Oryzias latipes: one gene and its partner. The protein of the gene in region 1 purifies or fractionates together with the protein of each later gene. This does not show direct contact. Links are inferred from orthologs where the notes say so. Each region holds a gene or a part of one and is shown in the gene's direction. Other genes may lie near its edges.

Region 1 (16,541 bases):
TATGGCTCAAACCAAACCACAATCATTTACACTGTAAGTAGCTTCATTGTAAGCCTAATAATATAGTAATTGTAAGTAAACAACAGCTTTTCTTTGTTAAACATAAAAATGTATCTTTTTTAAAGGTCAACATGAAGAGGAGGTCCATGCTCTATTGTTTCAATTTTTTGGTTCCCATCATATTCCTTATGATTCTGGATATGGCTTCCTTCCTGATCCCGGATGATGGAGGCGAGAAGCTCAGCTTCAAAGTCACCGTACTGCTCGCTGTGACAGTGATGCAACTTCTTCTAAATGAGATTCTGCCATCCTCAACGGACAAGATTCCACTTGTAGGTAAAGTGATTTAAAACCCTGCTCTTAGCCAACATGTGGTCCCTGTCCAAAGTCAAATCCCAATGTGCACAGGTCCAACAGATCCATTTTGCGGATGCATATAATGGAAACACAGCTTGTGATGGGATTTCTTTAGTGGTTTACTGAGTCTACTGGAATACCTCAACTGTACCTACAGTAATTTCCAGGTTACACAGTGCACCTGGTTACAAGCCACACCTACTCAATTCGCAAGTTGAGTTGCAATTTACAAACACAAGCTGCATTTGTATACAAGCCCCATGCTGTTACTAACACTATTGGCCCACCACTGATTTTCCTGACCCACAGACTGTGCGACTGGCTTCTGTCCCACTCAGGGATGAGTTGGCAGTGCATTAATTCATCAATTTGAACACATCCACATCTGCCAAACAGCATGCAGCTCACTTCTGCTCACAGGTCCCTCAGTTATGGTGAGGAAATTTACACCCGCGACTCCCCACTTCCCATGAGTCTTAGAGGCTTAAGGCGGGGCTAACCCCCAGGTCGCCACACTGTGTTATAGATCGAGGATGTATATGTGCTGAAACCGTGTTGTGCATGTTTAAGAAGGAGCAGCGAGCGGCAGCGGAAGGAGCAGAGAACGGGAGAGCAGCTCTCCTCTCCTTCCACGGCATCAATATGAAACAGGGCTGGTTATAAAAACATGCCAGTAAAAGAGAGCAGCAGTGACTTAAAGCGAACGCCTCAGTGCGGCACGCGCGCCTCAGCGCAGCACGTGCGCCAGAAGTTTCCTTGCACAACAGTGACACACTTGTTCCGCGGACGTCTCTGCGCTTCGCCCTTGCCCCGCGGCCTCCTTGTCTCACCCCTTGCGAGGGAGGAGCACTTCGTGCCCCCTGACGTCCGGTCACTGAGCGCGGAGCGCGGCTGCCAGTAGACTGAGCGAACCGTGTCTCTGAGCAGAGCAACCGGACTTAATAAGTTTTGTGTTTGAGGGGAGGGGAGGTTGCTTTGTTACGTGTGGCAGCCTTCAGACTGCCATCTCTCCTGCAGCTCTCTGTGATACAAGCAGCAGGAGAACATGTCTCCATCTCACACAGCGGCTTTGGGGCGGTGTGAGCTTTTCAAAGCAAAATGCCGCTCAGTCCTTAGAAACCTTCCAACAATCACGTGGATTTGTGTTTCTAGTCGTGTCCTGACAAAATATAGGCTGATGTTATTCCCACATATTTACGTAGAGCCAAGCTGCAGATTGCAGCATTTCCCGCATCGATTTATGTTCATCCAGGCTAGATGTTGTTGTTAGCGCATGTTAGCCTTCACCTAACCGTTCTTCCTGCTTCTTTCTGCCCCAAAAAAGCACTGACCACAAAATGATGAGCAAACAGGCTTCATAATAACCATAACAATAATAAAAACACGTTTAAAAGATCATCTCATATATATTACGGAGCTGCTACTGTAAATAGATGGGCCAGTGTCGCTCTGACTCGGAGGTTAATTCACTCCTGAGCTTGCGCTGTCCTCTCCGTCAGGCAGGAGACCGGCTTTTCCAAACCCGTTGGTGATGGTGGATTTTTTCACACTGCTTTTAACGATTGCTTTTAACTTGAAAGCTGCATCATATTGTGGTGGCAGTCACGTTCACGTTGGGTCTAATGGCACCATAGGATTGTGGGATGCGGCTGAGCATGGGTGTTTCTTTTTGTTGCACCATGACTGAAGTGTCATAACCTGAAGTCAGGTCCATGCTGTTTGGCTGCTTGTAAGTATGTCTTAAAAGAAATAGGCTTGCTGCTGGTAGTTGGATCATGCATTCAGTCTTCCCTCCGAGACTGCATGAGTGCTCCCGGCGGCTGTCAAACAAATCCATTAATTAGCCGCATCATTGAAAAAGCAGCAGGGTTGAAAGCGTATGAAAGGAGTGGTGGCTAATAGTCCGCAAATTACGGTAATCATTGGTCAAGGAAATGCAACTTCTAAAACAAGTACAAAATGTTTAATTAAGTCCTTTTTATTTATTTTCAGACTAAATCAACTTTTTATATAACTTGACGTAAGGCAGGATACATCATTATATAGGATACATCATGGAAATTAATCTCAAGCAAAATGTGTAATTAGAACTGTGTGAAAAGAAAAGAAATACTCTGCTTTTTGACACCCTGCAGTCCTCTTTTGCATTGGAATCTTTGGTCTGATGCTACTCAGCCTCTTGGAGACCATTTTTGTCATATATCTGAGGAATAAAGATTTAACAGCCCAGGACAGTGAAGTTAATGGAGACAAAAACTCAGACGAGGAGCAAAACAGTGAGAAACCCAAAGCCTACTTAATCAACGGCCTTAAAGGTCAGATTTTCTTCACAATTTACAAATATTTGACATTAAAGCATTTTCCACATGATACACAACAATTTCTATACAACTTCTTTTCTGCATTTCCCCTATATTTTTACAGCAGTGAAGAAATGCTGTCAGCCTGTCTGTGATAAGTCTTCTGAGGAAAACCCATGTTCAGCCAAAGAGGTAAAAGCTTCTAAGTTATGAAAAAGCCTTTATAAATATGGTTCATTTTGTCTATTTAAGTCAAAAATGAATTGCCTCAATAGTGTGTATTTACTAAACACAAAACCCATTTAGGTTTTGACACTGATAATCTTTCAAATTTAAACAATACGTTTTCAAATGGCCTAAGTTTAAAAAACGGACACGAACAGCACAAGAAAAAAACCAATAACTGTAAATTAACAGGGATTAGATGTTGTGTTACTTGATGGTTTGTAATATTTCACCTTGAAGCTATAGTTTTATGCTGGCCATTAGGTCATCTATGGCGTCATAGAACCTTGACTTTTTTCAGAAATGGCCAAAAGGATGCAACAAACAACTCTGACTGTTATTGGTGTTACCCCGTAGGGCCACTGTAGAAATGAGCACATCCCGCTACCAATCACAAGAATGAATCTCATGACAGCCATTTTTTCTGTGCAAGCCCACCGATGTCATTGCAGAGTCTCCACTCTGTCACTGTGTTAGTAATGGGGAGTTAATTAAACTTCCTAATTTTATAAATTGCAATGTTTAATTATTAGGTTCTTGTTTCTGGGTATAACCCTCACTTGCTGAAAAGACTAACAGGTTCTCACTTTGATAAGATTTCAACTAAATAAATATCTTCTGCAGGAAAACGCCAGTCAGCTGATGGAGATGTCCTTTGCAGTGGAGAAAGTCTCAGATGAGCTTGAGGACATGAAGAAAACCATAACTCTGCTAGGTAGCAAGAATGATTTGAAAGTAGGATACTGGACCAGATTATCAGTGAAGATTTCCAAAGGGTTTGGAACTTGTTATATTGTAGTAGCCTCTATATTTTTACTCGTCATCTTTTGTGAGTGGATGTCATAGGAATCAGCGCATGTTCCAAACAGAGCAGTTTGGTCTGGATGAGACTTCTTTTCCTTGTTCCTTGATTGGTGTGAAATTTTTTCTGATCTGATGGGTGGACCATGGAAGTATATTTTGAAAAACAATTAACTCATTTTTCTTGCAAGTGAACCTTAAAGCAGTCCAAAATCAGTGTAATTTGAAAATGTGAAAATCAAGAAAACTTTGACAACATCTGGGGTTATTGTTTAGGAGCACTATTTTCACCAAACCACAACTATATGATTTTCCCGAGACTCAAACTCTGCACTGAAAAGACTGCAAAAGGCAAAAAATGACAAGAAAATATGTAATACTTTTTACCACTCATCTCCCTTTTTATTTTGTTTTACTGGATATAAATATGACCTAAAAGTATCCAAAACCTATCACTTTTTTGATGATAAACTTATGAGAAGCAACATATATATTGGTCATGCTCTGCCGCCAGTGCCTAAACTGTCATAATATCATAATGAACTGAACAGACATGATTTGTTTTCCTAAACATCTACCATATTTTCCACATCATAGGGGCCACCAGATTGTATGGCGCACCGCGCATGCTTGTCTTGGTGCATTCTTTCTGACTTTGGTGAGTTTGAGTATGATTGGACAGAGTGACAAACGTACAGGTACAAGAGTTGACAAAAATACTATTTACCCGTACAATGAATTTGGTGGAAGTGAACCACTCAAAACATTTGCTACATTGACACTAACTTTTTTTAAACACGCTTCACATTAGCCACGTTAGAATCTTTAGCAGCATATTCATAATACCCGTTATTCCCAACCTTGTTTGTAACAGACTGATACCAATTAAACAAACATTACTGTGACTACGCTAACTCCCAACCTCATAACCTTGCTCAATCATTCAAACAGTAATTAGCATTGTAAATTACCATCTATTTTCCACTAATTTGTCATTTTTAAAGCATGTTTAGCAATATGTAACACATAGGTGTCAACATATTGTGAAATTTTTGTTAAAATACGTGTAATGACATTTTTGTAAGTGGAAAATGCTAGAAGAGGAGCACAATAAAGAGAGTCATTAGGGTTTTTGAGGTTCAAGTTTTCATGAATACATTTAGCTTGGGCATGTTGGTTGTGGCATGTGTTTTCCCTGTATTTGTATGGCTTTTCTCTTGTTCAGTGTTGTCAGCACAAATACTTGAACCAAATTTTTAGTTAGGGACTGTGCAAGCCAAAAATAAAGCAAGACGCTAAAGAAAAGTCATTTTACTTTGGGGGACTGTAGAGGAAAATAACTGTAACAGAACAATAAATGGCTACAAAAATAAAAAAAACTGTGTTATCATTGAGGAATTGTAGATTCCATAGAGTTTTTATTCTTTGTAATTGGTTTTCAAGAAGCTTTTGTAAGAAAATTGTCTGGATTATAAAATTAGTGGATTTAAAAAAGAATAACACATTTGTATATCAAAGGGAATTTTTGAAACCATTATATGTTTTGATTTCATTTGTAGTAGTAAATAGACATTGTTGCAAATGTACAATGTTACTGTGAATTTGGTGTGTGATACACCAGCATGTGTTGGATTACAACAACCTGCAACATCAGAATAACAACGTAAGGAAAGAAAGACAGACCAAAGGTACCTTTTACGAGGAGAAACGAACAGCGATAATCCTCAGCAACAATCGCTCTCCACTCTGGCGCATATTCTGTCACCTCCTCTTTTATTAAGTTTGTTGGGTATTCCCTAATTTACATATGCGCTGAGTTCTAAGGAGGGGAAACAGATAAAACACAGCTGCAGCGCTATCAGAAAACATTAATTGCAACATGTCTGTCTTTTCACAGTCTTCCCACGTCATCCGCAAACGGACCTGCAAAGTCTTTCCTCGGGGGCTCAAAAAATGATCAATCACAAAAATTAAATAGTTGGAATAGGAATAGGCAAAATTAAATGCACTATTTAGTGTCTTTCTTTAAAAAAATAGATGTGCATCAATTTTCATTAATTTTTTATGTATTTATTTATTATCCAAAAAATAAAACAAAAACTATAATTTTCACGTTGTGAGCACTATGGAAATGGAAAAACAGGAGCTTGTTATTTGGCCAAATAGTAATAGCAGTCATTCCTCCGCGCCTCGGAGGGGCGCTGTTCTCTGCGGTGTCCCTGCATTGTTGCTCAATCAGTGACGTGGACTTTCATTGAGAGGCAGTTTGTGCGGACACTAACAGCGTTTCTGAGATTCTTCTGTCAAGGTTTCCTCAGATATATCAGTCAGGCCTTCAGTGCTAACCTTTCGACAGACCTACGTAAAGAGCGGCTTTGTTAAACGTTCCGTATCAGGTGAGAGCCTCGTCGTCATGTGTGGATTTCGGTGTTTTGTGGAGTCTGACATAGTTTTCTAAAGTTTCCTCACGCTTTTGTTTGTTTATTGCGGTTATATTGCTCTGTTTTTTTTTTCCTGACAGGCTTCAGGATGAGCAAATCTAGCAAAGCGTTGAATCTGAAGGATAAACTGAGTGGAAATGAAATGGACTTGAGCCTGTGTAACCTCTCTGAGGTTCCGGTCAAAGAGCTTGTGAGTCAATTATGTTTATTAATAGTTAATTTAAAAAACACACACACAAGTAACACGTTTAATTAAAGTCAGGACTGGTTTGGTGTCTTTCTATAGTTCCTGCTATAAAACAATTGCAATAATAATAATAATATTCATTTAATTGTATGTATTTTTTAAGGCCCAGCTTCCTAAAGCAACAGTGATGGATTTGTCCTGCAATAACATCATCTGCCTTTCTGTAAGTATGAGTACAAAATCAGCAACATATGTCATTTATTGTGCTTTTATATATACATTTAACAGCATTATCTCTTGTTTTTGTTAAAGGATCAATATTGAACTTTTATTTAATCGGACTCCCTTTTTTGTATCAATTATATCGTGTGTCGCATGAATAAAGTAAATGTTTTGATCTCTAAACAGTTTTTAAAACTCTTTCTTTATGTTGCCATGAACTATTAGGTTCCCTTCTTTGGATAGGCACAGAAGTCGCCGTTTATTTTAATAAACTTTTTCTCTACCATTATTCCTGTTCCTCTGTCATCCATCTACTTGTAGTGTTAAATACCCACCCTGAGTAAAATTGTGTTCTTGGTATTTTTTAGCATGTTCTTGTGACATTTTCCTGATGATAAGGACGAGTATAAATAGAATTCAGCACAAATTGCCTAAGTATTTCTTTATTCAAATTGCTGTGAATCAGGAGCAGATGAAAAGAATCAGCGTGAATTTGTGATGTAGAATATAAGCTGGGTGGTCTTTAATTATAGGGAATGCATTGAAAATAGATCAAAATATGATTAGTGGGACTTTTAGCGGTGTTTGATAAATCAGAATTTTTACATTTTGGTTTGCTGTGTTTCTGTCCTGCAGCCAGAATTCTGCTCGTTGACCCACCTGGTGAAACTAGATCTAAGCAAAAACCAGCTAACCTGTCTGCCAGATGAGTTTGGGAACCTGGTCAACCTTCAGCACCTGGACCTGTTCAACAACAAGCTGATGACCCTGCCCGTCAGTTTTTCTCAGCTCAGGGTGGGTGGTGTGCAGCGTCTGCACTTTTGTCACCATTTGTGTCAGTCAGAAAGAGGCTGTTGTAACCAAGTCGGACTGAGCGTATTTTGGTTGGTTGGTTTGTTTAGAGTCTAAAGTGGTTGGATCTAAAGGATAACCCTCTGGAGCCCACTTTGGCAAAGGCAGCAGGAGACTGTCTGGATGAGAAGCAGTGCAAACTGTGTGCCTCCAAGGTGAGATAGAGGAACATCAGTCCAATGGTCTGCTCTGGAAGAAAAACCTCCAAACCTATTCATCGTGTTTTTTAAGGTTCTGCAGCACATGAGAGAAATTCAGGAGGAGGTGGACCACGCCAGAGAGAAGCGCCTTTTAAGAGAAAAAGGTGAGTTTCTAGAAATGTATCGTCTAAAGAAGGTTGTTTTGGGGTTTACCAAAAAAATGGAAAGTTTTGCCATTTACTGCATGTCTTGTAAAAATCTTATTTTTCTTTTTATTTAGAGCTGGAAAAGAAAAAAGAGGCAAAGCAGAGGGAACGGGAAGCCAGAGAGAGGGAGGCTCGCAAGCGGGAAAAAGCCGAGGAGAAAGAAAGGAGACGGCAGGAGTACCAGGCTCAGATGGCGGCTGTGGCGGCAAAGGAGCAACAGAAGAAGAAGAATGAGGAGAAAAAGAAAAGAAATGGACAGGCAGCAGGTGGGATTTAGGTTTTCAGTTTCTTGAATTGCTTTTCATTTATTTAAATTCTTTCTTTTTTAAATGGATGTCTTATTTTGTTTCAGCAGACAAAAAGGCGGCTGTGGAACCTGCGTCTAAACCACGGCGATCTCTTATCGGACTGATGTTCAAGCTTCTCCTCCTTCTGATGCTGGGTTTGGCCGGGGCTGTTGCCGCCTGCCGGCTGACCGACTTGCAGAAGGAACCGGCCTGCGTGCCAATCAATGTTGCCGTGGACGACGGCTTGGCCTGGGCCAAAGTGCAGGGAGGTGTCGTTCGACAGCTGGCGCAGAATCTGTCTTCTGCTGCAAAGGAGCTCCTAGAGTCCACATCCAAAAGCTAAATGCTCTCATGCCGGCTCGCTGTCAGAGGGGCAGGATTTTCATCCTATCCTGTGAACGACTGAAATTTTCCTCCGGAACATCAGGAAATCACCTGGAGAGCGTCTGTCGTTGGTACTGGCAAATTGTCTGCACAAATAGACGTTTGTTGAGGGGGAGATGTGTTGAAACCGTCCTAAATTCCTATGGAATTGTCATTCTTGTACCCTCTTTGTACTACAGTCTTTTTTTTCCTTATTTAATCATCTTTTATGTCTCCCGCTAAAGCTGCAGGAAACATAGCAGAGCCGTTCAGTGAAACCTCAAACAGCCCTGTTTGTGCTGCGCTAGACTCTTAAAGCCTGTTCACTGTCCGATGAGCATCTACAGAGGCTAGATGTGGCAGTCTGAGCATGTGCAGTGGAGCACCTATATATTCTCAGGAGTCAAACTTTAAGTCTCAACTAATGTAAAACGAGAGGCTCACCATTGTTCCAAAGATTGTCACAAGACTGATGACATAAGCCCAAACTTCCTAACACTGTTCCTCTCTCATGATCTTTTGAGTCAAATCTTAAAAAATACAACATTTTGTTAGATTAATGTTTTAACTGGTTAAATAATTCGTGAAAATTCAAGTGATTCAGGTTTAAACCCAAAGATTTGAGTTTAACAAAAATGAAAAAACTCAATTTGAAAAAGCTAAAATGAGCTTTTAGTTTGTGGATTAGTGAAAAACTAATCATATTTTCTTCATTATTCTGATAGGATATGTTTAAGAAATAAAGTAATGTTATAAAAACATGGTTTAAAAGCTGGTCAGATAACATGTACCTTAGTCTGCTTGTAAAGATCAAATTGCATTTTCCTGCTTTTGATTGTCACCAAGTTTTATTTATTTCTTAACTATCTTGAGGAGTGAGACTTAAATATGAAAATCTGCGTTTAAACTGCTTCACCAATAAAGAAGCTTCATGTCTGAAGTGAGTGACTGGGGTCTGCTTGATTTCCATAATAATGAATATAATAAATCAGGGGCAGTTTGGCTAAAACCTAAACCGTACTTTAAAGGTCAAGTTAATTTAAAAAAATTTGAACAACTAAAGCAAATCTTTTCTGTCAAGTTTTAAAAGACCTTACACCTTTTTTGCTTTTTGCAGAGCATTAAGTTTTAAACACTTAGTATTAAAAAGTGTGCAGCAGAACATTAATGTTGGATGTGTTAAGTAAGGGTTAATGGCCGACAAAGTGTGCGTGTTCAGAAATTAACGCACGCCATCTGCTTCGCGTTGACGGTTGCTTCCGCGTTAATTCCTGATAATGCACACTTTGAAGGCCATTAACCTTATGCCATGGTCACTTACAAAAGAAATACTAAGTTGTTTGTACTTTATTGTTATATTTTCGGTTTGATGGCTTTTTTTTTTTCTTTCACAAAAAACTATTTGTTACGTGATGCAATTTGTGGTAGCGGCTGAGTCGGCACGGACCTCGACTGCAGCGGGAAAGGAAAGCGATAATATATGCTGATTGTCACTGTGGGATATCCCTTGTGCTATCTTAGATGACCTCACCCTTACATTGACGTGTTCTCCCTACCATGACAAAGGTGGATAAAGGTGGAAAGATTTCATGTAATCCATGAAGATCACAAATCATTGAAGAAAAAAGGTTCAGAGCACTGTCTAGTGGGTCTAGATGACCCAACTCCCAACGTTAAGGGTTAAGGTAATGGTAAATACCTTAACCCTTAACGTTGGTAAAGGTAATAAATGGCGTATACTTATATAGCGCTTTCTACCCTCTTTCCGAGGCCCAAAGCGCTTTACAGTCACAGTCCCATTCACCCATGCACACACACATTTACACACACATTCACACACTGGCGGCGGCTCCGCTGCCGAACACTGGCGCCAACCTCCCACCAGAGGCAAGGTGGGGTTCAGTGTCTTGTCCAAGGACACTTCGACACATGGGCGTGCAAGGCGGGACCTGAACCTGCAACCTTACGATTGGGTCGATCGCTGCACCACGGCCGCCCGTAAAGGGTTAAATAAAGCATCAGTTCAGAGACAAAGTTCACCTCTTACTGCTTGTTTTGTCCAGGTGATGAAGCTAAAGTTTGTTTCAAAATAGCCAGCGCAGTGATACAAAACATTCAATGTATGAGACCAGGGGCCTGTTTCAGAAAGGTTATGTGTAAACTCTGAGTGCGTTAACCCTGAAATCAGGGAAACCCTGGGTTTTCCATTTCAGAATGGGAGGTTTGTTAAACCAGAGAAAGCAGAGTAAGTCAAACCCGTTTCTGAAAGAGAGGTAACTTATACTCGGAGTCAGTGTCCATGGTTACTTACGCTGTGAACCTAACCTGGTCGGGAGAAGGTTTTATTCCCTAAACTCAAGGTTTCTGCCGGTCCCCTCCCCTTTTTAAAGACTAAGCGGTATTTTTCGCTTTAACCTTCATTGCCCAAATTTGCGTCACACAGAGACGGTCTAAGTGACAAGAATGGCTTGTCCTTTTTCGGAGGACCCAATAGACGAGGAGGCTGCATTAATTCATAGAGAATTACATTTACGCCGTGCGAGGATTTTGAGACCTAGACTCGATATTTTGTCATTTCCCCATACGTTTTTGTTTGAGCTTTACCGTTTTTTGTTGCAGTCAATTACATATAAACAATGAAAACATTAGATATGTATTGCTATGTAGATGTTTCATATGTCAAATATTGTCAACAAAGCCTCCATCCATGACATGCTCAGATTTGACCTGATTGAATTATGTTTTTATACTTCATTTTTAGCTGCTGCCATGTTCTTTTAATTCCTGCAGGATTGCATCTACATGAAAATAAAATCAGGGACATTGAATTAGATTAATGTAACAATTAATTTTTGGAAACACAATTTGCTAGTACTGCTTACTTTCTTAATCCCATATAGACCTATATCACTTGATCAATACAAGGGTAGACAAAAGTTCACTTTTAAAAACACAATTGAATGTATTAATATTAAACTGACCAACGTTTGCAAGAGGGGAAGGTTAACAAGAAAGTCCTCTAAACATTACCGACGTTAAATGCATTTTCCCCCAGATTGGTTCTGTACACTATGCAGCATTTCATGCAATTACACCAGGAATAACACTTCAAAAGTACACCTAAATATCGCCATTTTTTATTTCACACCTTACGCAATTTAAAAAGTTATTACAGCCAATATTTTATAACAATGATTTAAATGCAAACTTAGGCATTAACTTGAGCAGCTATGTTTTCCACGCTAACTGTCTCTGTTTTGCAGATTCAGCGGTGTTGCTTTTCTTCCGGAATATGTGCTCATATTCACTGTAACTCTGCAGCAGCACGTCAAGTTCAGCTGGCGAAAAATATGCAGACCTCTTTTTTTCCACAGTTGCTATGGTGACTCGTGATATCTGCGCTCCATTGATAATGGCTTCTTATAGTCGCGGTGCGCACGCTTAACTCCGAATCAGTCCACTCAGAATTGATTGATCTAACTCGGATCAGCTTCTCTGAAACAGAAAACTCAGAGTTGTTAATCTCTCGATTGACCAACTCAGAGTTCAAGTTTAACCTCAGAGTTGGTTGAACCTCCTTTCTGAAACAGGCCCCAGAACTTCCTTTTTGGGTGTGCATTATCCCTGTGTGATGTCACATCCAGCAGCCAATCAGAATGGAGAATTCACCCGGACCATGGTATAGATCTCTAGAAACAGAACTAAATGCAATTTCTCACTCACGTCTTATTTCTGGGTTTTAATAAAAGTCATACACAACCAGTAGAGGACACTCCAGCAGGTCTCTGCATTTATGTTTTGCACTGAAACAAAGTTATTAAGGAGATATGAATATTTGATACAATTCAACAATTGATCTTAAAGTAAAAGAATTAGACATTGCCAGGTTTTATTCCCTTCACGTTTCTATTGGCTACAAACATTGGAATTTAAATGTCACTTGTAATGATGCCAAGTAGAAAATAGTCATTGTGGCATTTAGATTTATTACATGACATTACTAAAACTTTCCCTCACGAAAATACTTCACTCATGTTTGATTACCTTAGAATAATTTTCAAACTGGTTTGATATGTATTTTGTGTGAAAAGCTTCTTTCTGTAGGTAGTATCTGAAATTCATAATTTGCGTCCATTTAATTTTTTTGTGAACTAAGAATTTTTCTATCTGAACAGTTTGCTATAATAGATGAGGAAAAGTGTTGAGCTATGGTCACTTGGGGTATGTGAATAGGATAAAATGCGATAAATGCCCATTCTTTTAACCCGCTGTTTGCCCCTGGGCCTGGACTGTTGCTACCTGAAACTAGCGCAAGTCCGCCACCTACAGGTGGAAGAGGCTTGATACAAGATGTCAAAGCGGAACAAATCTCATGATTTTGCTTCAGGCTTTTTCTTTCACAGCTCTATTCCTGTACATAAAAAGATTTGGTATTATAGAATTCTAGCTGGGCACAAACTGCAATTATTAATCTCTCCTCCAGGATCAATTTTTAAACAGACCGTGATTTAAAAGTGACGAAACATCACTACCAAATTTGAGGATCCCTGATTGGTCAAAGTCCGACCTGCTTAAATTTCAACACGCGTTTAATGGCGTTTTAGGTGCGTAGCTACATGTGAACATCAGAATTTTGAATATGGAAGCCCAATACGCACATTTCCCTGCATTGAAAATGGTCGCTGTAATGTGTGTCGATGAGGGTGGGGTGAACATAGCATCACAGAAACACTCACTTTATAAAGAAAAAGTCATTTCATATTAAAAAAGAAAAGCAAAAGTTTGAATTTAGTCTGAAATGATCATCAAAGATAACATATTTTTTAACTGTATAAAAATTCAAAAAATTTCACTGTAAGATTTTTTTAAAGAATTTATTTGTATAAAGTTGCAGTGGGAGGGGCATTCCCCCTCATGAGAAACAAACTGCATCCACTGCTTTGATCAATCAGGGACTCAAATTTGGTAATGATATATGGAGAGCGTCCCTTTAATTTAATTCACTGTTTAAAAATTGATCATGGAGGATAAATTAATAGTTGGGATTTGTGCCCAGCTGGAATGCTATGAGTCTGCTTTAACTTTCAACGAGCTGTGCGCTTCACGGAAACAGTCGTTTTATAAAGAAAACGTAATTTCCCTAAAAAAAGAAGACAAAAAATAAATAAAGTTAGTGTAAATGACATTCACTTTTTTAAATTGTACAGCCCTTTTAGAGGAATCTCACAGCTACTCACAGCTATGTTATACCTTCAGGAAATAGAAAATGCTCTGGCAGACCTCCAGCTGCATTGAGATACTGAGTTCCTGTAAATTCTGATCTGTGTTAGAGCTGCAGGCTTTCAGGAAGCTTGCGTATCGTTCTGTCCTTTCTGGGCACGTCTGCCGCTGCAGGTTTGTCTGTAGTCCCTTTCCTTCATCTGGACTTCTTCCAGTAGTGTCTTCTGAACAGACTCGTCCACCGTTAACTCGAGGGTCACCTCTTTGAACACCTGACACACAGACACCTACAACAGAAACAGCCGTGACTATTATGAAAGCCCCTCAAAGCAGAAATGAACATCTACCAACCTCCTGGAAGTGCAGCTTTTTGAACATGGCGATGCTGGTGTGGTTGTCCAAACCAATTTTTGCTTGAAACCTTTTGATCCCAAGTTTGTTGACTCCTGATGGAAGATTGTGTACAACTTATCACTAAATTTGAATTTAACAAAAATATTAAAAGTTTTCAGGAGGTAATAATTTATTCCATAAAGTGATGATTTTTGAATTTTTTTCAGGCTTGTGGCCAAAAAATGTTAGATTTTGTCACAACTCTCATCATCTTAGTATAAACGCTAGACTAAAAGGAATAACTGTCAATGTGTTGTAATAATTTTGTCAGTGATGCAACAGCTGCTCACCATAGCACATCATCATAAGTGTCACCTCCTTCCCGATGCCTTTGCCTCTGTAGCTCTCTTCTGTTGTGTGACAGAATATTTGCCACTGAGCACAGGAGGAAAAAAATGCTAGAAAAGGTTTTCTTAATAAACATGAGTCACCTGCTATCATGATCTCCAGCTCAGCCAGGGAGGGATCAGTGGAGTCGGTCAGGAAGATGTTAACATCTCCCACCATGCAGGTCTCCTCATTAACACTGGGGTCGGCCCACTTCTGTGTATCCAGGATGATAAATGTGCACTCTGGGAAATCAACAGTGTTATGAAATGTTGTCTCTGTCTGGTTATCAGGAGTTGTTTTTGGTGCAAAGACCGATGACTCCGTACTGTCGTCGTCCTCCCTCCAGCTCCTCTGCATGTCGTACTCCTGTTCCAGGGTCAGTGGTTCTGAGGCAGTGAGTTGCTGCAGCTCTGGAGACTTCATCCACTCGTGGTACCTGCAGGATACAGAACCCTGACATAAACAACATCCTCTGTGCCTCTGCTTTTTCTAGGCTATACATTTAAATTGAAGACAAAAATCCTATTTTCTAAAAAAAATAAAAAATCACCAAAAGATGGTTGCATCAAAAATAGTTTTCAACTAAATCCCAAATTTTGAGATACATGTTTGTCATTTTTTTGAACAATTTAACATTTACAATTTCATGTTTACAGTAAAATCTATTTCATTTCACTGTTAATGCTGCTGTGGTTTCTTAGTCATTATTTCCTCAGAAACAAGCGTACTAAAACCTGATTTCTACAAACAACAGATTCTCATGTATTTATGTAAACAAAGCCATAGAATAGAATAGAATTATAGAATAGAATAATAGTTTATTGCAACGAACAGCACCACATCGTTGTTATTTTTCATTTATATAATATTTTTATACAAATTTTCTTTACTTTTTTGTATACGTTAGTCTATACGACGTCACGGTGAGTCTCTTTGTGCTGACTGAATGAAGGACAACTGTGTTACCTGGGCACGTGCTCTGCATTGTAAGGGACCAGCAGGACTCTCTGTCCCTCCAGCAACGTGTTTTCATTTATCTTCATACTGAAGGTAAAGCAGCTGACTCCTGCACACTTTACGCTCCCTGCATGACCATCGGCACTTCCTTATTCACAGAGACTCGTGCTGCGCATGCGCCAAAGGCTCTGGCTGTGTGCTGTTTTTCAAACTGTGAGGTGCGCCCCCCAGAGGACAAGATAGAGTATTGCTAGTCTTTCTCTTTCGGCTTTTCCCATCAGGGGTCGCCACAGCGAATCATCCTTTTCCACCTCACTCTATCATGAACATCTTCTACCCTAACGTTAGCCAACTTCATGTCCTCTGTTAAGACATCCATATATCTCCTCTTTGGCCGTCCTCTTGCCCTCCGGCCAGGCAGCTCCATCTCCAACATCCTTCTACCAATATATCCACTATCCCTCCTCTGAACATGTCCAAACCATCTCAGTCTGGCTTCTCTGACTTTGTCGCTAACACAGGCAACATGAGCCGTCCCTCTGATGTACTCGTTCCTTATCCTGTCTAACCTGGTCACTCCTAAGGAGAACCTCAACATCTTCATCTCCGCTACCTCCATCTCAGCCTCTTGTCTCTGTCTCACTGCTACCGTCTCTAACCCATAGAGCAGAGCTGGTCTCACCACTGTCTTGTACACCTTTCCTTTGAGTCTTGCTGGCACTCTTCTGTCACACAACACTCCTGACACTTTCCTCCAACCGCTCCAACCTGCCTGCACTCGCCTCTTCACCTCTTTTCCACAATCCCCATCACACTGAACTGTTGACCCCAAGTACTTAAACTCCTGCACCTTCTTCACCTCAGTCCCCTGTAACCTAACGCTTCTACCTTGATCCCTCTCGTTCAGACACATGTATTCTGTCTTACTACGACTGACCTTCATGCCTCTTCTTTCCAGAGCAAACCTCCACCTCTCTAGCTGTTCCTCCACCTGCTCTCTACTCTCACTGCAAATTACAATGTCATCCGCAAACATCATTGTCCAGGGAGATTCCTGTCTTACCTCGTCTGTCAGCCTGTCCATCAGCATAGCAAACAAAAAAGGACTCAAAGCTGATCCTTGGTGTAGTCCCACCTCCACCTTGAACTCCTCTGTCTGACCTACAGCACATCTCACCACCGTCATACTTCTCTCATACATGTCCTGAACTACTCTGACATACTTCTCTGCCACTCCAGACGACCTCATACAGTACCACA
Region 2 (14,970 bases), on another chromosome or scaffold:
GGTACTGGGGGACGGCTGGGAGCGCGAAACGAGCCAGAGGCGAGGTCCAAGGACAGGAGCAAAGACGGGCCAACTGGAATCTGAAATGGGAAAGAGGGACAACACATTAATCACACTGCACCAAACAGAGGCATGGAGAACTAGATGATAAATATATAATCAAAAATAGAGGAGAGGAGAAGTAGATGAGAATCGAGGACAGAATCCCAGTGCACCATACTTTTTCCAGCTTCTAACTTCTAGGAGCCTGCTAGCAACTAATTGCTATTGAAATTTAATTAAAACATGTTAATAGTAAGTTCCATGGCACATATAGCAGATGGGAATAATAATAGAAAATCTACATTTTTAGTATGTCAACTTTGCTTAACTCGGTGGCCTTGTGGAAGAGTGTCTGTCCTGAGACAGAAGTCAAGAGTTCAAATCATAACAAAGTCTCCAAAAAAGGGACACAACATTTGACACTCAGCATTAAGAGGTTGGATTGGGGGGTTCAGCAATCAATGGTGGCCGTGTGTGCAGCTCATTGCTCCCCCAGGTGATGGGTCACATGCAGTGAAGCAGTACAATACCAGGTTATAACAACTAAAAAAATATGTGAAAGGAATACACACCCTACATACAAAACGTCCGATCTGAAAAAAATCTCTTTTTTTCAAGAAACACGGAGATTGTTTCAAATATTCCAGTCAGTGCTGGAATATTTTCTATATTTCTATTTAATATTTCTCAAAAAAGGGCAGGATTGTCTTGAAAGTTCACTTTAAATATGGAGTTATTCTTGTTCTCACCATTTAAGGCAGGCATGTCCAAAGTCTGGCCGGTCCAAGGTGGGTTCAGAAACCTGTCAAAGGTTTCTTTCTAGATCTCTACAAAGTCTGGCCAAATGCAGCCCTCCTGAAAGCCTCTTCTAGCCTGCTGGTACCTTTTATAAAAATAAATGTGCTCCCAGGAAACTGTGTATGATTTCTTGATTATGATTGCCTACTTTATAAACCATTTTAAACCTATGGCAACACTATGATGTGACCCTTTTGCAATACCTTTTAGCTCATTTCTAAAATGTCGACTGTAAATTTAACAAATGTTGACAATTGGGGGTCGCTGCTTTCAGGACAAGTAGAAATTTGTGTATTTTTTTCAGTAAGATACTAAACATGCAAGAGGCTGGATGTTTTCAAGAAATTCAATATCAAGAGGGACTACAAGACAAGACATCCCAACTATGCCAAGCTAACTAGGAAAGAATGGTGCATGGTTTTCACATGTGAAATTCACTGTCATTTTGTTAAAGATTTATTAAGCTCTTCTTTTGTTCTATGTGTAGAAAATACAATTAATATGCAATAAGCATTTCCCTTAAACAGTTCATGTGCATTTAATGTTATAAGGGTTCAAAGAATGCAGGTTGAATGGTTGGTCCTCACAAATGTTCACCTCACAAAATCTAATTCTCTTTGCAAAAAGTCAAATCTAAAAATTTGCAGATTGGATCTTTTGTATTTTGGTTATCAAGTTTGGTTTTTGATGTTTAATCATCACTATTTACAGGTAACAACCATTCATTTTAAAAGTAAAAATAAAAAAGCAATATTGTGGATGTTTTTTTAAATTTACAATATATTCTGATTCTTTTGTGGGAGTCAAACTTTTTGAAATTTTACATAAATTGTTAGCCTCCAGCAATATTTAAAAGTAGGCTAATATTTCCTAATAATGCCATAAAAATGTTGTTTAACTACGGTTTTAAAAGGGGTTTACGTGGATCAACACTAGCTTTATGCGTCTTTTTTTTTAGTTTTATGCATCTGACACATGATTACAATGGGGCGGTGAAAACTGACAGGTACGGTACCTTTAACCAACCGTTCGTGAAAACGCGTCGCTTCAACTAGACTGACAGTAGTCTAGCCAATCAGAGGACGCCTTTTTTCTGTGACGCATTCAGTCAATAATTCCAGCCAGTGAAAAGCTCGAATGGGCGGGGCCACAACCAAGAACATTCCCCAACACAACTACTGATTCTGCCCAGTTCGATCGGCAACGGGAGCGGAAAGAGGAAAGCTGAGAGCCCGAAGGCAGTAGCCCCCACCACCGCCGGCCCACGTTACCATCTAGCACCGGGAAAAATAGCAGAGAGCCGCCGCCGGCAGAAGCCATTACCAACCAGTAACTATGAGCAGCGAGGCCGAGACACAACAACAACCACCGCAGCCTGCTGCCGATGATGCGGAAAGCCCATCCAGCCCGGCAGCTGCAGCTTCCGCGGGGGATAAGAAGGTCATCGGTAAGACTGCCGACTCCACTTAGCTAACTAGATGCTAAACGTGGTTTATGTTGCTGTAAACGAGACAGAAACAGCCGTTGAATTATGTTAATGTAAAATGACCGTTACGATCAACTTTATTAAGTAGTTGGACGTTAAACCGTACGTCGAATTGTGATACCAACTGTCAATATAATTATACATTTTAAAAACTGTCAGTTGGGAACGGTTATTCATTAATAGCGTATCATTCTCATTAACTATGAGATGTCACAAGTTTAGGAAAAATCCACATCTTAGAAATGTAGTAAATAACCACTTAATCCATGATTTTCTGTCTTGGTGGGAAAACATTTGCGAAAAAGAGACGCATGCATCCAAACGGCCGTCACATGGATGATCGTAGGAGTAATTTATGTCAGATCCAGCATGTTTACTACCAGACGTTGCAGACCTTTATCTCTCACCGTTAACCGCCAAAAGTACGAACAAAACCCGAAAAAATGACGAATAAATGTTTTAAACTTGGAAATACCCTGCGTTAGTTCACACTAACAAGTTCACCGGCAACTGACGCTAGCTGCTTACTATCCCTTTGTTCGCACAAGTGTCGAATCCCTGTATTCTCTGTCAAAGCTTAAAGGTGGTTGTTTTCAAGTTTATTTTGTAACTATTAGATATATTCAATAATAAACGCTTTGGGATTTGTATTCAAACCGTCCTAAGCTTTAACTCGATTTTTTTTTTACATTTTCGGTGAGGCCTAATTATTTCACGATAGCTTTCCAGTTGCTAACGATGCTAATGTTAGCCTAGCCAGCTAGCTGGCTGGCTATTTACATGGCTGAAAAGGCCACCCAAAATGTCCGCCGTTACACGATCCGTTTATACGTTACAGTTCTATTCTAGCTCGGTTTAGGTACTAAAAGCGCTTGCTTAAGTAGTTTCGAAGTAACATCTGTAAGATGTTGATGGGTTTATTACGTTGGTTTCCGCTTTTTGGCTATACTCCAACCACATGGTTGTAACTCTTAGCTACACGGCTAAGCTAAGAAGCCAACTCGGCTTGTTTTTCGGTCTGTCCGTGTGCGACCCTACCACGTGTGAACGCTCACGTCGTGAACTGGGCGTCTTAAAATGGGGCAGTAGGTCTTTAATGTCCGAGTTCTCTAAATGCAGTTGCTAAACGCGAGGTTACTTGTTTTGAAGTTTGACGTGTCGTAAGCTCTGTTCCCCGTGTTATCCGCATTCCTTCCACACATTTGCAGTCAATGTAATTGGACTGTTTTCTACCATGGCCGGAGCTTCACACCGGGAGCAGCTGGCGCCAGGCTCTCCTAAGCATCAGCATCTATAATAAGCACGACAGTTGGAAGTTATTTTTAACGTCCACACTATGGCTAGTTTTTTCCTGCACATATCTTATTATGTGCGATGCTTTGACTGTTCCCAATCTATTATCATATTTTCAAAATTTCATTACTGCTATTCTAAAATTACCTTTGCAGCTTAGAGAAGTAATATTGACACTTGATAACTGAGTTGCTCTGTTTTTCATTGCAGCAACAAAAGTCTTGGGTACAGTCAAGTGGTTCAACGTCAGGAATGGATATGGTTTCATCAATAGGTAAATGACCACCTCCAGCGTTCCCAATCCTATTATGATTATTGCTTTGCTAACGTGGCTGACCTGATTATTTTTTCTAGTGGTCTGCATGCACACTGTAACCTGCAAGACTTCATTAATCCTTGCACTTGTTGGCTTAGTTGCAATCTGTCTTCAGAGGTGTGTTGTCTTAGTAAGTCATGTGTGGTATAACTGAATCTTTTTATTTTTTTCTCTTTTTGTTCAGGAATGACACAAAAGAGGATGTTTTTGTACACCAGGTGACCTATTATTTTCCAAACCTTTTGGAAACTTAAAACATTTTTTTTTTATTTCGACTAATTCACTTTTCAATTGTTGATGATTTCAGACAGCCATAAAGAAGAACAACCCAAGGAAGTATCTTCGCAGTGTTGGGGACGGAGAGACTGTGGAGTTTGATGTAGTTGAGGGAGAGAAGGTAATGTTTTGGGAAGAATTTGGTTATGTTTGCAGGCATGTTGTCAATTTTAAACTTATCTGTTAACAGGGTGCAGAGGCAGCAAATGTCACTGGCCCTGGAGGGGTGGCTGTCCAGGGAAGCAAATACGCTGCTGACAGGAACCGCTACAGGCGTTACCCACGCAGAAGGGGGCCCCCTCGTGGAGGAGAATACCCAGAGAACTACCCAAGTGATGGAGAAGGCGAGCCTGGCAACGGAGTGCGTGACAAAGGAAACAGAGACGGGGGAGAAAGCGCCCCTGAGGGAGAATCGCAGCCACAGCAGCGCAGACCCACTTACCCCAGCAGACGACGCTACCCACCATACTTTGTACGTAGACATTATGGTCGTGGACCCCCGTACACCAATGCACCACGCGGAGAAATGACTGTGGTACGCGGTCACCAGGCTGCTATCCAGAAGTAGGCAACCAGTTGTACCATGACAGTCGAGACACTTGCTCTTCTCCCAACATGCTCCTTGGTAAAGCTCACGTGGTTGTGGTCAAAGTTTGGTGTATCGGGGGTCACGCTATTGTCCGATGGACTTAAATTGGCCGTCTCTTCTTAAAAAAGTGTTCGTGTTGCTTCAATATTTCTGTGCTATACTGAATAATCTGTTTGTTTGAGAAAGCTTTTTTGCTTGATTTGCTCTGTTTTAGGGAGTTGAAGGCGATGAAAACCAGGGAGGTCCAGACCAGGGCAACAAACCAGTGAGGCAGAACTACTACAGAGGCTTCAGACCAAGGTTCACACCCAGGTTTGCACATTGGCTTTGTCCTTGAATGATGGAGAAAAGCTTTCAGTATCAAACCAACATTTAAGTTGGAAAAACCAAAGTCAGTTTTCAGTCAGTTCTTTTCAATCCAGACCTGTATCAACTCGCTGGGATTTGTTTATATATTTTCTTTCTCTGTAAATTCAGAATCATTCCCGGTCCCAGTAAAGTATTTTTGTTCCTCCTAGATATCAATGTCCTTGCTCAAATTTTGGTTTTCCTCTCCTCCTTTTTAGGGGTCCACCCCGTCCCAGACCGGTGCGGGATGGTGAGGAGGACAAGGAGAATCAGGGAGGTGAAGGTGGTCAGAATCAACAGCCCCGTCAGCGGCGCTACCGCCGCAACTTCAACTACCGTCGCAGACGCCAACAGACTGGTGGTAAACCAGGCCAGGAAAGCAAGGATGCCAAGGCAGGAGGTGAACCATCTGCAGAAAAAACGTCCGCTCCCGAGGCCCAGCAGGGTGGGGCTGAGTAGGAAGCAACATGCCCACCGGCAACTACCATCTTTTACCATCGTCCGGGTGAGTGCACCCCCAGGACTGCTCAATATATTCTGCAAGTCTGCTTTAAGTAAAAAATTGCTGTCCTGATTTTTTGCAGTTGCAGAAACATGAGGAAAATGACACTAGGTCCTCTAAAACAGAAAACTTCTTCAAATAATTATGTATCAACGGTTGAAAAGCATATGCATTAAATCTTTTAAAATGTGAACATATGCTGTAGATTAACAGAGACTGTTTCTATTTGCTGAGAAGCAGTTTTAATTGCACTTTCCTTCAGTATAGTGATAACACTTTTAATATGTGCCATATCATATCAAGTTTAATGTTGAATGTGCAGATCGTTTATGGACAGTGAACTTAATTTTCTTTTCTTCTCTTTTCAGTTTTTTTGACACGAAGAAACATCAAATAAGATCTGAGCAATAACGATTTGACTTTAAGATCGTCACAAGCTTGCACCATTTTGACCAGATTACCAACGATTGCCTGCAGAATCTATGCAGACTTGGGTTTGTTTTTTTTTTGTTCTCCATTATTTTTATGTGACAGCTACAAAATGTTTTGGGGAAACGACAATGTTTTTCTAAATCTGTCCTAAGTTTTTACACCAAATGGTTTTTAAAAATAAAATGGAATTTGATATCTGGTCCGTTTGACATTTTTAAATAACTTTTTATGTATTCAAACATTTTAACGAAATGCAAGCTAAAATAAAACTCAAAAACCAGGTAAACCTTTTTTGTCATGGTGGTTTTTATTTTCAAGTATACAGGTTGTCCAGTTTTCATTCTTAGTAAGAAATACATCAGACTGGGGCATTTGGTTTAATAGACCAAGGTAAACATTTAAGTGTTAATAAAGGCTGGTTGAAAGTAATTAGATCACATGAGCATTAAAAAAAACATTCCAACATATTTGACACTGCAACGTTAATTCAACTTCCTTGTTAGGATTAGAGCCTCAGCTTAAGGAAATTTGGTTCACAAATCATGGATATGGAAAAATGTAACTGGTGCAGAAGTAAAGTAAGATTTGCACCTTTTTAAAATGTCTGTTATTTGCAGTGACAAAAAAGTCAAATGTTGGTTTGCGGAAACCTAATGGTTACATTTTATCCAAGGCCTCAGAGTTGAGTAAAGCCATTATGGTGATTTGCGTGTGCTATGCTGTGGAAGGTGACCCTGTTATCTCTGGTAAGTTATCTGGTGTATCCACTGGGATTGTAGTGGAGGAACAGGTCACAGGGCTAAGGCCACACGAGCAATAAAAAAAAAAAATTCATCCTGGCAAATTGCAGCACCAAAGTACAGCCATGAAGAGTCAAACGTTGGTCTCTTTGCGCAGACGTTTCATTTGTTGCACGTTACTCTCCATAGCAGTGGGGTTGGTGATCTCTGTGGCACAACTGGCAGGAAACCAGCCCCTTTCCCCATCTCGCATTCTCTCTGCATAGCACCATGCTGGAAGAGCAGACATGAATGAATGCTTTAATATGACTATTAAAAACATATACAGGATGCCTTATAACAAATCTGAATGGAAATACCCCATACCTTCCTCTTTTTTCATAACAAGGACAAGCTCAGCCTGTCGGAGGCCAATCTCATCTGGTTCCTTTGGGATGTAGGATTTAGTGGCCTCATACTGTGGAAGACCTTAAGCAAAGCAACATACAAATTTAATTTATGTAGGATATAGTAAAAAAAATGTCCATCTAAAAAAATAAAAACACTTCTACAGTAACACATCAAAACCTGCAATAGGGGTTTTCCATGACAATGAATACCTAAAGTTTTCATCTGTATCCGATAAAATTTTTCTAAACAAAAGGTCACAAAAAAGAAAAGCATAAAAACCGTAACCCTTGTGCTATCCTAGGCACTAACGTTGGGAGTGGGGTCATCTAGACCCACTAGACAGTGCGCTGAACCTTTTTTCTTCAATGATTTGTGATCTTCACTGGTGTCCATGGATTACATGAAATCTTTTCACCTTTATCATGGTAGGGAGAACACGTCAATGTAAGGGTGGGGTCAAAGATAGCACAAGGGTTAAAGGGTTCATTGCATCATTTTTGGAGGTTTAATTCAAGTAGTAAAAGTAGTGCAACTCCTGCAAACATTAAATTGAAAATCCATTATCTCAAAGGCACAACATTAAAAATGAAAAACACAATTTTTTGCTGTTTTAAATCGATGTTCATTTCATTGCTTTAATCATCACACCCACCTTCTGTGCATGTGGCATTCGCCTGTTTGTGCTCCGTGAGGGCGATAATCCAGCGTGCCCGATCCACTCTGAAAGAGTTGACAGAGGCAAGAGTAGAAAGGAGAAGAACAATAACAAGATTTGGTCAGCAGAGGGCGCCCAAATATTGTAAAGGTATCTATTATGTGAATGGACCAGATAATAAAGAAGAAATAGTTAAATTATCAAAGATCTAATGCCCAGTAAAACATACATTTTCTCTAAAAATGGACTTCCAGATTCCATTTTTTACACTTAATTTCTTGAAGTACACTGAAAGGAAAGAGCTGCAGTACCTGGAATCAGCTACTAAAGAGATTTGTTCCGATCTCCCGTCACTGTTCTTAGTCATCAGCAGTTTGAAGGTCAACGGCGTGCTTTTTGTAGGTGAACTCATTTGTCCATCTGTTTCCATCACATACTCCACTTCCACATTTTCCAGAGTAGCATAATCCAGAACCACAAAGATTTCCTCACTGGACACAAAAACAGTGTTCAGATTATTCTGTCCTCTAAATGCAACAAACAGGGAGGATAGTGAAAAATGCCTTAAAATGTACACAAACACATTCTCTTGAGTTTTACGTTTGCTTTTCCTGGATAATCCCTGAGGAAAGGTTGCAGTGCTGACTTTACAAACATTAAAATGACTCCACTGTCATGGGCAACTCCTTCCTCTGAGCCAACATTGTTTAGTTTCTCCCTAATTCAAAACAGACATCTGCAGTGAGTCCAGCTGACAGGCTGAATGCAAGATTGAAGAATCTGAAGTATGCTCGCACAACATCCAGACTCACTTCTCATTCTGTCCCCTTTCCTTTCATACTTTTCCCTGCCAGCATATGGACATTTCACCAATAAATATCAGTCACACTAAAATAAAACATTGTGAATAAACTGTGCTAAACAAATCCTCACACTCCTAGAGGTGCACCACATGGATAAAAAGGTGGTTTCAACTGAAGAAATATCTCAATTGTGGATTTTGAGGCAAAACTAACTCTATATGAGATCGTATGAGTCAAAATTCTGATATCAGGCGAAGTCTAAAGATGGTTCGAATGTTTCTTTTTTCTCAGTCTACAAAATGATTTCATTATTTAGAGGGTAAATAAAAGCCTGGTGAATTCCAACTCACGTCTTCTTCTTGGTGACAATGAGCACATCATTGAAGAGGAATAGGTAGTAGCTTCTGTTTGTGAAAGCTTTCCATATGCTGAGCTCTTCTGCAGAGATGTTCAGCTCACCACGCTTCTTCAGCCATCGTGATGAGGACACCAGAGGGAATGGCTAAAATGACAAGACGCCGGTGGTTTTTTTTTTTTTTAAATCAAGGCTTTTGTCCTTGTTCTTTTCACTCTGTTTAATTCTTACTTTGATTTTCCCAAAATCCATCTGCTTCTGGATGGTGTACATCTGCTCCGTTCTCTCCATTCTTCTAGCTCCATCATTGCAGCTAGTCACTAACTTTTGGGACGAAAACACCCAGATAACTATCTCCAGAGCCGTTACAAAACACAGATGGTTTTCATTTGTTCTATTTCGTCGCAGCGTTAATACCTTGCTCATGGCATGCAGGGCCCACACGGCTGCAAAGTACTCTGCTGTGTTTTCTGGAGTTTTCTGACAGATGGTCTGAGGACAGAAAAAAGTAAGTTTGTCTGCCTTTTTACTAGAATCTAGTTGAAGCATGATTGGAAAAAATATATTTTAAAAAATGTTAATCAAGAATTTTTCGCAACTGCCGAAAATGAGAAGTATTTTATGAAACCAAATTTGAGGAGGTTAACAGCAAAATTACATACAAGACATCTGCAAAATTAGTGCAACCCCTGTAAAAGTTTAATTTAGACTCAAGTTTGGTGAAGACCAAGTCAAGTCTCTGAAAATCACAAAGTTGAAAATATAATAAACACAATCTAAGCTTTTTTAAAACCATATTTTGAGAAACTGTAAATGGATGCCAAAAATCACTTCAATGACAGATTTTCTCTCAGCTTTGTTTCTATTCTTTGTTAAACTGTCAACACATTAAAAACGTTTCTAAAATAAACACATAGTGAATTAGAGAAGTAACAGCTTAGACAGGGGTACCGTTTTTGACAAGTCTGTACAAAACCTAATTCTGTAGACATTGCAAAGCCTTGTGGGTAAAGAAAAGAGGGTAGGTGTTGGTGTGAACCGCATGTGAAGTCTAGACCTTTTACTCCATAAAAGCAATATTGGTCAGTATGATGCCAAAAAAGGTTGCAAACCTGCAGGTGTTTGCTAAAAGGGACACAGAATCAGATAATCTAAAATAACTAAATAACATAAGGAGTTTTTTTAAAGAATAAAATTAATCTAATCTCATGATTAGTTTTATGTAACTTTTAGGAATTTGTCAATATCAGGGAAATAAAAGCGTACTGAGCTTTTTATTTCGTATCCTTTTTTCTGTTAGTGAAGTTATTTTAAACTGTTGGAAATGTAAAGAAGAAGCTTACATCGAGCAGCAGTGGCAGCCTGGTGACTCGCTGCATGGGTAGGATGAGGAAGGAGAACATGGGAAGGCCTCCACATTCACTGCTGCTTTCCAGCTGCTTCAGAGCCTCTTTGAATGCAGAATTAGTGTTCCTTGAAATCAAAAAAAAGATGCTTGGTCATCACATCACATCAAAAACAAAAACAAACTTGCAGCTTGTTCTGACTCTCACAGCAGCTTCTGATGAGTCCTCTGTTGGAACGTCTCGTTGGAGCAATACGCGATGTAAGGTTCGAAGTGGTGCGCTGCGTGGTTCTGAATGATATCGCTGATGTCGCGGATCACCACGTCCTCCTGGTGACGACGCTCCAGGTCTTCGAAAAACCTGAGCATCCAGAATAATGGAAGCAGTCAGAGACATATAAACAGAGGGGCCTTTTCACCCTTTAACTACCCAACCAAGTCAAAATTGATTTGAAAGTTTCTCTGCTGCTTATTGCCTTGGGCGACTAATACAAATACTCAATATTTTTTACAAAATGTTATCTAAATGTGCTCTAATGTTTAGTTGAGCAGGCAGTTAGTCCCCCATCCATCCATCCATCCATCCATCCATCCATCCATCCAAACTCGCTTTATTCCCAGTGCTGCCAAAACTACATTTACAGAAAGTAAAAATACACTTGTTTCAAGAAAAAAAAGTCATATTTTCTGTATTGCAAGATAAATAATCTTATAAAGTAAGTTTTTCCACAGCAAAATTATCTTAGTTTGAGAAGACATGTCTTGTTGACTAGATTTTTTTTCTTAAAATAAGAGTTCTTGGTAATAACATTTTCTTAGCCTTTTGGAAGACTTTAATAATTTAAAAAAAAAATCTCTGCCAAACCACCTGTGCGAATCAGTGAACGCTGATTGCTGTGGCGGCCCCTGAAGGGATAAACCAAAAGATGAACAATGTGCGAGGGGGGACTTATTCCAAGGGGTCTGTTTGAGCAGAGAGTCTGGGTCACAGGGATGTTGGAGCCTATAACCTACTAAAGTGTCAGCTCACAAGTCATTCCTGTAAAAATTGGCTGAAATAATTTATTGTTCTAAACTACTATTAAAATATTGTCAAAAACACAATTTAACTGGAAACCAAGACAGAGGTGACTTTTCTTCAACTACTTTTACCACAGAAGTTTGTCTCAGTTCATCCAGTTAACTGCACGGCTTGAGACACTGGCAAAGTAGAAGTAATTCAGCTGGAAAGAAGAGAATCTCTGGATACTTCTGCTTGTTCTCTAGTGTTATTGTATCTGGACCACAGTCAAAGTGATTTTTTTTTCCTACATTTTCTCAAGTTAGATGACCTATAAGTCATATTTTTGAATATCAGAAACTAAATAAAAGTTCTCGATGACACATTTTTTCTTTCTCCATTTTATATGTTGAAAACAAAAAACAATTTTAAGATCTTTTCTGCCAAAGTGCTTCTTTTGGATAGCAATACATTCTTTTGCAGTTCTGAACTTTGAACCAAAAGAAGTAAAATGACACCAAAAGCTAAACCACACCCAGAGGCAGCTTTATGACACACATTCACATGCAGATAACGTAAGGCGGTCAGATGTTCCATAGACAAGCTGAACTGTTCGTTGGCTTCACACATCCCATTTCACTGTCTTAAGACTAAACACAGTACTTTTCTTGCTCATAGAACAGAACCAATACTTCATTTATAAATGAAACTAAAAGAAAACAAAACAATTTCACTTCCAAACATTTTCATTTTAGGGCAAAGTACACAACTCGGTGCATTCAGGCAGCAAAACCGGTTTGGCTCACAAGTCCTAACAAGTTAATGGAACATACACAAAACTAAAGGCACACTGAGGGCAAATACTGAAACCGACAGGAAAGGAGCGTTTTCAACCCTTCAGCCAAAGAAAACCGGGTATATTTACACCTTCACGCACCATTAAAACAACTCAAAATCATTTCAGATCTGGCATTGTGAAAATATTACAATTTCATACAAACTTTAAATAGTGGTTGATATACGTTTCCCGTAACCCTTGGGCTATCCTAGGCACTTTAACATTGGGAGTTGGGTCATGTAAACCCCAAAAGACAGTGCGCTGAACCTTTTTTCTTCAGTGATTTTTGATCTTCACTGGTGTCCATGGATTACATGAAATCTTTCCACCTTTATCCACCTTTGTCATGGTAGGGAGAACACATCAATGTAAGGGTGGGGTCGTAGGATAGCACAAGGGTTAAACAAAGCCCATTATAACAAAACATGTTAGATTCTTATCAAAGTGGTAAAGGGTGTTGCTTCAAACCTTTGGCTGACTTTGAGAATTACAGAGATGTTGGAGAAGAGGTGGTGGTGCTCTGTGGGCGCCATCGTTTTACTCAGTGTTTTACTGTTCTTGAAGTGACGCACCAGGATGCCCAGGCTGTGTAGGTATGAGTGCTCTGAGCAGATGATCTCAAAAATAGCCTGCCAAATAATCACAGATAGGAAATGACAGATCACCGCACATTAAACACAAAAAACAGAACATGTATGTGTGTAAGCCTTTCCTTTAAAACTTTATCCTGAACCCACTTTAAAGTTTTTTTCCCCCCTTTTTTCGTGATAACCAGAATACATTGAAACAAGAAATTACTCGTGAATTTTATGTAGACACAAACGTGCAACAGTTATGTGCACATTGGTCCTTGGCTCAGAAAATAAATAAACAAACAGAGATATAATAAACTTCACAACCTTCTTAAATCTAGACAAAGTGGTCCAGAGAGGACAAAAAGAAAACAAAAAGACGTCAAATGAAACATATTCAGTACATAAAAAAGGTTTTGCAAATTCTTCTAGAAGTGGTATGTGTGTGGTGGATTTTAGTCTGTGTTTTTGGTGTCACACAGGAAACTGGCTGAAGGTACAAAAGAGCAGGACAAAGAAGTGATCAGGGGACTCCCACAGAGAGTGGTTACACAGGCAAGGTGTGGCTTTATTCAACAACTCCAGAGCACACACAGGTCCAACTTTTAGTTTCGACTCATTCATATCTAAGGCGGCCACTGAGCAAAAAATTGACATAAATACATAAAGTCATTTGCTATTGGTGTGTGATTTTCATTAGCATTTGAAAAGAGTTTTGGAAGGGAACGTAAAGGTGGCTTTATTGTGACACTAAACCTGCCTGAACCTTCAGTTTGAGATGAGAGAGATTTGTTTTACACACTTCATTATTTTCTGGTATGCATGTAAATTGAAAAAATAAGCTTTTGTTTATAAATTCATAAAAAACAAAAGCAGATCAAGAAATAAATGTCATCAGCGTAGATAAACGGCATTTTTTTTTACTCTATCAAAAAATAAAAATAAACAACAACAAAAAAGTGAACTGCACTCATTATTTGGGGTCTAGCAACTGTTGCAGGGGGGGTAAGTCATGCAGACACAGTGTGACATCCAGAATAAGTGAGAAAGCTACATAACACAAAAAATGTGTTTTATTAATGTATTCTTTCTGATAAAGTAACTGGCTTCCAGGAGTTCTCTATGGTTGAGGAGCTCATCATCAAAAAACCATGAAATAGAAAAACGCTGCCATTACCTCTTGTCTTTTTCTCTCTTGAGGTGTTATCCTTGAAAGAATGTCTGAGTTCTTCACCTTTGCAAGATATCAAAGCAGAAAAATATGTAACTTAAAGAATGAGTTAAAAAAACTTAAATGTTTTGGAATTAAAACCTTTGCAAATGTCACCCCTAAACAAAAACGAGGGGAGACTTTTACTCAGTAGAGTAATCTTTAAAAGTTCTCAAATGAAAAGATTTTCAGATGTACAAAAAAAATATGACAATTTCAACATAGAGCATTGAAACTTATAAGGTGAGAGGGTTAACCTGTGGCAGCTGGCTCCAGGTCAGCTGTGCTGGCTTGTAATTCTTCACCACAATGCCCTGGTCCTCCACTGGAGTCTCCACCACCACAAAGTCGTCCAGCAGCTCGTCCTGGTTGGTGGAGTGCAGGCCGCGCTCACGCATCTCTTGGTAGAGGCACGGTGTGGCTGAGGACCAAGACTACCAAATTACTTAAGCTTTACATCTATACATGCATAAAAGTGTTTAATCTTGGGTTCAACTTACCTATATCATAGAACGACTGGTATAAAAGTAATTCTAAATTATTTTACAGTTATACTAAATTGTATTGTTTACACAACAAAATAAGGATCTTAATACATTTAAAGGAAACTATATAATTATTTAGAGCACAATTATTCTAGACTAAAAATAAGATAGTAAAATGGGATACTTTATTTTTCCTAAAAAACAAACAAAAAAGCAGTTTAGAAGTTATCGAGTTCTTGTCTGGATAAGGTTAAAGAAACTGTTCAAATCCAAATATTACCTGTTTAGAAGAGGTTATTCTGAACAGGTAATATTGATCAATAATCATTACAGGAAAGTGAACATTATTTGAAGATTTTGTATGTTTTCTCATCTGCTGGCCCAGAGGTCATTTCTAATGCTGGTAGTGTTCAGAGCAGCCCTCCACTTTTTTCACACCAAGATGTTGGACAAAAATTGTGGCGCTCATGAATAGTCTGCATGGAGACCAACATT

The links.
Region 2: the proteins of lrrc59 (region 1) and ybx1 purify together in Homo sapiens (co-immunoprecipitation; 3 studies listed by BioGRID and IntAct, with this or other methods). This does not show direct contact. The link is inferred for Oryzias latipes from reciprocal best matches to the Homo sapiens genes LRRC59 and YBX1.

Annotation. Positions count from the first base shown.
Region 1 is NC_019877.2:13,736,208-13,752,748, forward strand, and holds lrrc59 (leucine-rich repeat-containing protein 59), read left to right. Parts: upstream 1-5,903; 5' UTR 5,904-6,079; intron 6,080-6,204; 5' UTR 6,205-6,212; coding exon 6,213-6,314; intron 6,315-6,474; coding exon 6,475-6,534; intron 6,535-7,169; coding exon 7,170-7,328; intron 7,329-7,435; coding exon 7,436-7,540; intron 7,541-7,616; coding exon 7,617-7,689; intron 7,690-7,805; coding exon 7,806-7,997; intron 7,998-8,083; coding exon 8,084-8,361; 3' UTR 8,362-9,326; downstream 9,327-16,541. Other genes in the region: 5-hydroxytryptamine receptor 3A, read left to right, coding at 1-33, 126-336, 2,493-2,672, 2,782-2,849, 3,507-3,728; nat9 (N-acetyltransferase 9), read right to left, coding at 13,724-13,888, 13,953-14,047, 14,285-14,344, 14,426-14,760, 15,291-15,367.
Region 2 is NC_019865.2:7,797,664-7,812,633, forward strand, and holds ybx1 (nuclease-sensitive element-binding protein 1), read left to right. Parts: upstream 1-2,039; 5' UTR 2,040-2,175; coding exon 2,176-2,287; intron 2,288-3,829; coding exon 3,830-3,893; intron 3,894-4,119; coding exon 4,120-4,153; intron 4,154-4,242; coding exon 4,243-4,332; intron 4,333-4,401; coding exon 4,402-4,683; intron 4,684-5,014; coding exon 5,015-5,112; intron 5,113-5,366; coding exon 5,367-5,607; 3' UTR 5,608-5,653; intron 5,654-6,018; 3' UTR 6,019-6,368; downstream 6,369-14,970. Other genes in the region: rho guanine nucleotide exchange factor 16, read right to left, coding at 6,956-7,095, 7,189-7,290, 7,865-7,932, 8,179-8,358, 9,021-9,172, 9,257-9,349, 9,443-9,517, 10,369-10,498 and 4 more. UniProt on the Homo sapiens protein: DNA- and RNA-binding protein involved in various processes, such as translational repression, RNA stabilization, mRNA splicing, DNA repair and transcription regulation.